2 linked regions of the Drosophila melanogaster genome follow. The protein of the gene in region 1 purifies or fractionates together with the protein of each later gene. This does not show direct contact. Each region holds a gene or a part of one and is shown on either strand. Other genes may lie near its edges.

The links. Proteins that work in one complex are often made in the same cells at the same time.
Region 2: the proteins of Pp2B-14D (region 1) and sra purify together in Drosophila melanogaster (affinity purification with western blotting; 2 studies listed by BioGRID, with this or other methods). This does not show direct contact.

What each region holds. Positions count from the first base shown.
Region 1 is NC_004354.4:16,558,323-16,562,075, forward strand, and holds the start of Pp2B-14D (protein phosphatase 2B at 14D), read right to left. Parts: upstream 1,695-3,753; 5' UTR 1,086-1,694; coding exon 1-1,085. UniProt on the Drosophila melanogaster protein: Calcium-dependent, calmodulin-stimulated protein phosphatase. This subunit may have a role in the calmodulin activation of calcineurin.
Region 2 is NT_033777.3:16,184,987-16,188,739, reverse strand, and holds the start of sra (sarah), read right to left. Parts: upstream 1,742-3,753; 5' UTR 1,441-1,741; exon of another isoform or gene 1-1,440. Other genes in the region: Bin1 (bicoid interacting protein 1), read left to right, coding at 1,963-2,028, 2,102-2,488; CG8927 (uncharacterized protein), read right to left, coding at 2,626-2,851, 2,914-3,753. UniProt on the Drosophila melanogaster protein: Required for elongation of meiosis I spindle. Critical for ovulation, meiotic progression in oocytes and female courtship behavior, including their postmating changes. Regulates female meiosis by controlling calcineurin activity in the germline.

The DNA.
Region 1 (3,753 bases):
GTCTGGCTTTTGCGGTACATGCGGTAGCCGGCGTCCTGCGCCTCGTGCGCCCGGATGATCGACAGCAGGTTGTTGTTCTGCAGGAAGTCGCAGCAGGCGGCGTAGCTGTAGAAGTACGAGCATCCGCGCACGGAGTTGTGCGTGTAGAAGTCCGAGTTCTTCTCGTTGCCAAAGTCCTCCAGGGGATCGGACCACAGCAGGTCGCACATGGGGCCAAAGGCGGGCGGCTCCTTGAAGCGGTCGAGCCGCCGGATGTCCTCCAGCTCGTGTATCTCCGGCGACAGACCGCCGTGCACGCAGAGGAACTGCTGGTTCATTAGCGCCGCCAGCGGCAGGCAGTCGAATGCGTCCATGCAGGCGTCGTACACGCGCTCCGAGTACTTGATCTTGCACTCCTGCTTGAAGGTGAAGTACTCGGTTAAGTGCCGGCACTCGTGGTTGCCGCGCAGCAGGAACAGCGTCTGCGGATAGGTGATCTTTAGCGACCACAAATACAGGACGCACTCGATGCTGAAGTAGCCCCGATCGACGTAGTCGCCCAGGAACAGATACTTGGTGCTCGCGGGCGAGCCGCCCACTTCGAACAGCTTCATCAGGTCGTAGAACTGGCCGTGGATATCACCGCACACCGTCACCGGCGCCTCAATATCGATCATCGTCTTCTCCTGACGCAGCAGGGCGGCTCCGTCCTGGATGATTTTCAGGGCGGGCGCCTCCTCGATTCTGCCCTCAAGAATGAAGTGCTGCTTGAGCAGCTCATGGTTGGGCTTGCCGGTGCGTTGGTCGAACACCTCCGCCAAGGTCAGCTTGTGGCTGGGCGGGAAGGGAACGCTGTCCACCACCCGTTCCTTGGTGTTTACTGCCGTGTGGCCGCCGTGCAGCTTTCCAGTGCTCGCTCCTGTGCCCGTTCCAGTGGTGGGACTGCTGTTGTCGCTGTTGTTGCCCGCTGCAGCGGTACTGCTGCTATTATTGTTGTTGTTCGAGGCGGTACTATTGGCATCTGTGGCTTCCGCCGATCCGGCACTGACGGTGCGGGCACTTGTTGCCGCCTGGGCAACGCTGCTGCTCTGGTTATTCGAAGACATGGTTGAGACTTCTGTTTCTGTTTCGGTTTTTGGCTCTGCTTCTACGGCTACTGCTTCCCGTTTCCTTTTTCCTGGTTTCTATTCCGGGATTCGGAATCGGACTGCTCCTCTCCCGCTCCCACTTCCACTAGCTCGCTCTCCCGCTCTCGCTCTCCCGCTCTCGCTCTCTCACGGCTCAGTTCTGTTTCCACTACCCACACACACGCACACGCACACTCGCTCACTCACTCACTCACACTCTGGTACTTTCCCTGGCTGCTGCTGCTGCTGCTGTGTGGTTGTTGCTGCTGCTCCTACTGTTGTTGCTATTGTTGCTGTTGTTGTTGGAGTGCCTGGTGAGCCGCTTTATCGCCTTCCAGCTTTGATTCGCTTTCCTTTACTTTCCGCTGGCTTTGCTTTGATTTTGGAACGCTGACTCCGCTGCTTTCTTCCGTGGCCTGCGCCGCTGGCCTAGCCGTTTTCCAAAAGTGCTGCTTTCACTTAACAACAATCATAGTCACTCTGTTTCAGTATTTGCTACTTTTTTCGCTTCGGCCCTGCAGACGTCGTAATTTCTCTCTTTCGCTACGTTTTTTTTCTCGCTTTTTTTAATGGAATTTTCTGCAGTGTGGCCGTGGCTCAAAAGCTCAAACTTACTACACGGCCGCTGGAATGTGTACTCTAGTCGAGACTCGCACCTGGAATGGAAGTCATGGAAGTAGTCGAGTAAGGTACGTGCAAAATTATATCTTTCTCTGTATATTTAATATTCTAAATGAATACGCTTACTTTTATCTCCTTTCTAACAATATATTCACTTTAAAGATGTAGATGGTGGCGCAAAATTAAAATCTGAACAAATTCCGCACAGCAATGTACCACAAGGTGCTAAACTTTGATAATTATATCCAATTGGACTTGGTACATATTCAAAATGTCAACTGGAAAACATTTTATTTTAAAAAAGCTTAAGCTATCAATTAAGCCGTTCATCTTAATTATTCTTTAAACGTAGTTAACTAAACATTATAAAATGAATTAAAATTAGAGAATATGAGAGCCCAGATGCTGAATTTATCAATATAGGTAAAAACCTCATTATTGAAATTCTTGGCCACCTGTCGGTTTCGCCCCACTTACACTTACCTCTTCCTTAATTTTCGAGCAAATTCTGGACATTACTCACTCAGTCCACCACTTCTCCAGCCTTCTACTGGTGGATATGCTTCCCGGGATTAAATATGTATATGCTTATTCTGAAATTCCCCGGTGGCGAAATCGACTCAAACGAACTTTTAGAGGAAATAATAAATGTGCGCGCATTTTATTCTCAGGATAGGTACTTGTATATTTTTTTTAATGTTTTTGTATTTCTTTTTTGGTTGTTTTTGTTTTTTTTTTTTGCTTGTTCTTTTTTTTTCGTTTTTGTTAATATTAATTATGTTAATAACATTGATAATCATTTTGTTTTCATTGGGTTTCTTCATTTTGTTTTGCATTCACTTAAGGTTAAAACTTGTTGTCTGCATTTTGTTGTTGCCTTCATTTATTCTCCATCGTCTACATCTCCATTATCATCATCTTTATCTTGTAAATTAATTTGTTATCTTCCTTGGATTGCGTACAATTTTTGTCACAACGGCGCAAATTTTATGTAATTTTTGCCAGCCAGCTGCCCCTTGCAATACAGTTTATAAATTTGTTTATCCATTAACTTTGGTTTCGGTTTAATAATAAAATTGAAAATTTTTAAGAGATTTATCTAGATGTGATGTTTTCTTGTTTGTTAATTTGTTATGTTGCATTTTTAATATTATTTATTTGGTTTTTGGTTTTCCTTTCCCATCTTCCATCCATTTGTTTTTTGTTTTTCTTTAATATAAGTATATAAACTTTTTGCTTTGACAAAGTTTTTCCAACTTATATTTATCATACATGTTATATATAAATAAATGTTTAAATATATATAAAATATGCATTTAAATTGATTTATCCAAAAGGTAAAGTTTTAATTGTTTTTTGGTTTTTTCTTCACTTGGTTTTTCTTGTTTTTTTTTTGTTTTTGCTTTTCTTTGTCCATTTCTTTTTTGTTTATAATATATATTAAATTGTTTTCTTTTTCGTGTAAAGTTTTTAAAGCATTCGAGGGCAGGAAGTAGATGTTGAAAAATACATGTATCAAAAAAATTAAGGTAACGTATATAATTACATACATACATACATATGATGAAAAGGTTTTCATTCGCATTGCAATGGATGAGATGAGTGGAAACGAAAAACAAGAAATCTTCCCATTTTCTCTTTATTCTCGTTAAATTTAATAAGTGTATATACGATTATAAAAAAAAAAAACAATTGGTTAACAAAATGGCTTACTTAAAGCGACTTAAATATTTGATTGTACATAGTAGTTCAAGCTAATCGATAAACTAACAGTCTAACGGAAATTTAAAAAAAAAAACTCTAAAAACATTTATGTTCAATATGCGATTTATTCGATATCGAACTGAGTGTGGAATTGATTGTAATCGGCCATTCTAATTTTAACTTTCGGCTGAAATTTGAGTATAGTTTTTATGGGTATTTTTTTATCACGTCTTGGCTATCTTTAAATATCATTCTCTGGGTTTTGAAACCACTTAAAAAACTGCCTAGACGCGTGCTATGAAAGACTTTTCAAATCAAAATT
Region 2 (3,753 bases), on another chromosome or scaffold:
AGCGACCGCAACAGTGGCAACAAATCGCCCCACACCGCACGTCTTCAGTTTACAACCAAGGACTTGGCACGTTTAAAATTCAGCCAGCAGCCGCAGCAACGAACACGGACAGTGGGCGGAATTTAATTTCGAAAAACATATTACTTTATTGTTCACATCTTTACCCACCTTCCGATTCGAGTACATACGATTCCACTGAAGCCACTGAAGACTTACTTCACTTAAAGTACATTTTCTTCAACTTCGTGGGGTCTTTCTAGAACTTAAGACTTATTCTAACTTAAAAAGACTATAAAGTTTTTAAACATTCCGTTGTTTTGTCAAATTTGAATAATTTACGAATGTGAATTTGTCGCAGAAGTATTGCTGAGTATTATCTTTATAAATTTTTCATTTTTTAAAGTGACTAAAGAAACAGCTTTAATGCGTCTTACTTCATATTGGTCATCCCGACCACAGTGCACTGGTTACCAAAGTATGCGATAACAATAACATCGTCCACTATGTGGTCGTTGCTGGGGTTACGGGCAGTCAGTCACGGTCACGGCTGCAACCCCTCCGCTCCGGCCAAAACGAGTCCACAGAACAATGGCCAAGGACGAAGGGGGGGGAGGGGGGATTCAATAACAACAGCAGGAACAACAAACATTCTGCTCCCACGCAAGAGCAGCAGGAACTGTGGCAAAAACAGCTGCTGCAGGATCAACGAGGTGGGAGTGGATTCGAGGACTTTAAAACACGAGCCAACTAAAAATATTCAGACACGCCGAAGCGAAAATACCCTTTAGCAGGGGGTTAATTCAAGTGGGGTATTTTCCCCTTCTAGTGTTTTTCTTTTACCAGGGTAATCACAGATTCTGTTTCTGTGCACTTAAACGGGGTTTATTCCGTTTCTAAAAATATCAAATGTCTGGATTGACTTATTTCTTGGTATTTGACTAAAAATAAAAACAAATATGCAGCTTTTGGGAAACTGATTCCTTGTTGACACAATAGAAACCACCATATGACCACACCTTCCACGCTACTGCAATAACTAGAACATTTAGAACAACAAACAGAATGGCACTATTATCGGCAAATGATGGCGCATGCATAAAAATGAGGAGATCGAAAGTGGGTGGCTGGGGATGGGATAACCTTGTACTTCTTGAGATAAAAACAGTTCAGTATTTAGCAGCGGCTTATTCCTGAATGTTTATAAACAAATCGAGCGAGAGAGCGATGCATAAATGAAATATGAGGGGGGGTGAAGGGTGGTTGCAAAGAGGGTGACTTTTCGCAGACGCTGCGGCACCAACACAAGCAAAGCAACGGCAACAATTTGCACGTAAAACTCAGCTGCTGCTGCTGCTGCTGTTGCCGTTACATAAGAAACTCTTGCAAAAAGTGCAAATCTCAATTCGGTATGCAAATGGACCGCTGCCACAATGTACTCACCGTTTTTAGAAACTATTCAGTGGCCAAATTGCGATTCTGCTTTTATGCGCCAATAACAAACGGCTCTTCTCCACCGTTGTTGTTGCTCTCCTCCTTGTTGTTGTGGTCGCAGCTACTGCTTAGCGAAGCAGTTGTTATTGTTGTTGCGGCAACAGTAATTTGCAAGTGCACCGCTATTGTTGAATGTTTTTAGACGATTGTCATGCCAGTGGAAGCTTCCAGTCTGCGTCATTCGCGGAGACGCGTAGTTTCACGTTCGACGACACAACCGCTCACAGCGAATTTTGTTTTCGGACTAGAGCTGAGAAACGGCGAATTTTGGTGCTTCTGGAAACATCGATTAAACTAAAACCCGATAAGTATGCGACAAGCGGTCACACTCGGCGATGTGCGATAGGATTGCTGCATTCGATTATATAGTTATCGAAAAGAGCAAAGAGAAGCCGGAATATACGGCATTAAAAGTGCATTTTGTATTAAAATTAAGAAAATTAGTAACGATATACCGCAGAATAGGGAGACATGGCCAACGTGGAATCTATGATTGTGGAGGAAAAGACGCAGGTCAAGCAGATTGACCGCGAGAAGGTTTGTTTGTGACCCCGGTCATGTTTACTTCGCGTTTGCTCTAGATGTGTTAATAAGTTTATGTATTTTCCAGACCTGTCCTATGCTGCTCCGTGTCTTCTGCTCTACGGGACGACACCACTCCGTGTCGGAGTATATGTTCGGCAACGTGCCCACCAACGAGCTTCAGATTTACACCTGGCAAGACGCCACCCTGCACGAACTGACCTCTCTGGTGCGAGACGTCAATCCGGACACCCGGAAGAAGGGCACCTACTTTGACTTTGCTGTCGTGTACCCCAACTTCCGGAGTAATCACTTCCAGATGCGCGAAATCGGAGTGACCTGCACGGGTCAAAAAGGAATCGATGATAATAAGACACTTGCTCAGGCCAAATTCAGCATTGGAGACTTTCTGGACATCTCGATTACTCCGCCCAACCGACTGCCGCCAACCGCCAGGCGCCAGCGTCCGTACTGATTCTTCACTTTCATCTATTCTAATCATTTTAATCTTTCACTTGACACTCAATGGAGTATGAACATAATTATAAGTGGAATACAAGTAAGACGAACTACGAGCTGCTTGACTTAAGGGACTATATGTTGTGGGGAGTATCAGTTCCTGTAAAAGCCGTTCGGGCGCTTCGACTTCTTCTTGCCCAACTGCGTCATGTCGATCTCCAGACCATTGGGCAGCACGGCGCGATTCTCTTCGTAGTTGACGAACCCGTTCTCTTGTAGCTCTTCCTCGTTGTTGCGGTTGTTAGGATCGCACTTGATTCCAGTCTCATAGTGGTACTCACGTTTGTTGCCATCTGGATCAACGTAGCCATAGGTTCCCCTGGTGAACGAGAAGTTTGGGTAAGTGGGAGAAAGAGGTTGGATTCAATCTGTTTTACTCACTTGGTGATGCAATCGGTGCCGATCAGCTCCTCCTTGAAAGATCCGTCGTCGTTCTCATAGCCCCATGTGATGCTTCCGTCCTCGTTTTCCTCACGCCACTTGCGAATGGTCTGGGAAACGGGCTGACGGCGACGCTGCTGCTGCTGGTCAACGTGATCGTCCTGTAGCTGATTTTGATCAATGATGGGACGCGGCTGGACAGGCTTAGGGCGTGGCCTGGCCATAGGCTGTGGTGGTGGTGATTCAGGTCGTAGGGCAGCGGAAGACGCTGGTCTTGTTCGGATCACAGCCACCCGCTGGGGCTGTTGTTGCGGTGGTGGTGGCGCTGCTGCAGTGGGCGTAGGTCGCTCCAATCCGAATCTCTGCGAGTTCTCAAACCGACCAATGCCAAAATCATTGAAGGCGGCGGGACGGTTCAGGGGCGTCGGAATAGATGGCCGTTCAGCGGGGAAGCGCGAGGAAGGAGGAGGCAGGATGGCAGCCGGCTGTGAGTCATCGGACTGAAGGAACTGCTGCACCGGCGAGGGTTGTTCAACGGGTTGTTGGCCGGCCAGGAAGGCGGCTGCTGCCTGCTGGAACTGTGATTGTTGGGCCTGAGCCAACTGCTGTTCCCGCAGAAGGTTCGGCAGATATGGCTCCGGCTGCTCATCCTCCGCTGATTCCGTCACAGGACGCGGTTCCTCAATGGCGATGCGCTGCGTCACCGCTGGAAGTATGGTATTCTGCTGGCGCAATGAGGCTCCTGGACGGCGTACTCTCAACACAGGCTGTCGGTGGGGCACTTGACCAGGTGATGCTACCGCTCCGGGAATGCTCAGACGCGGGGGATAGTTTTGGGCC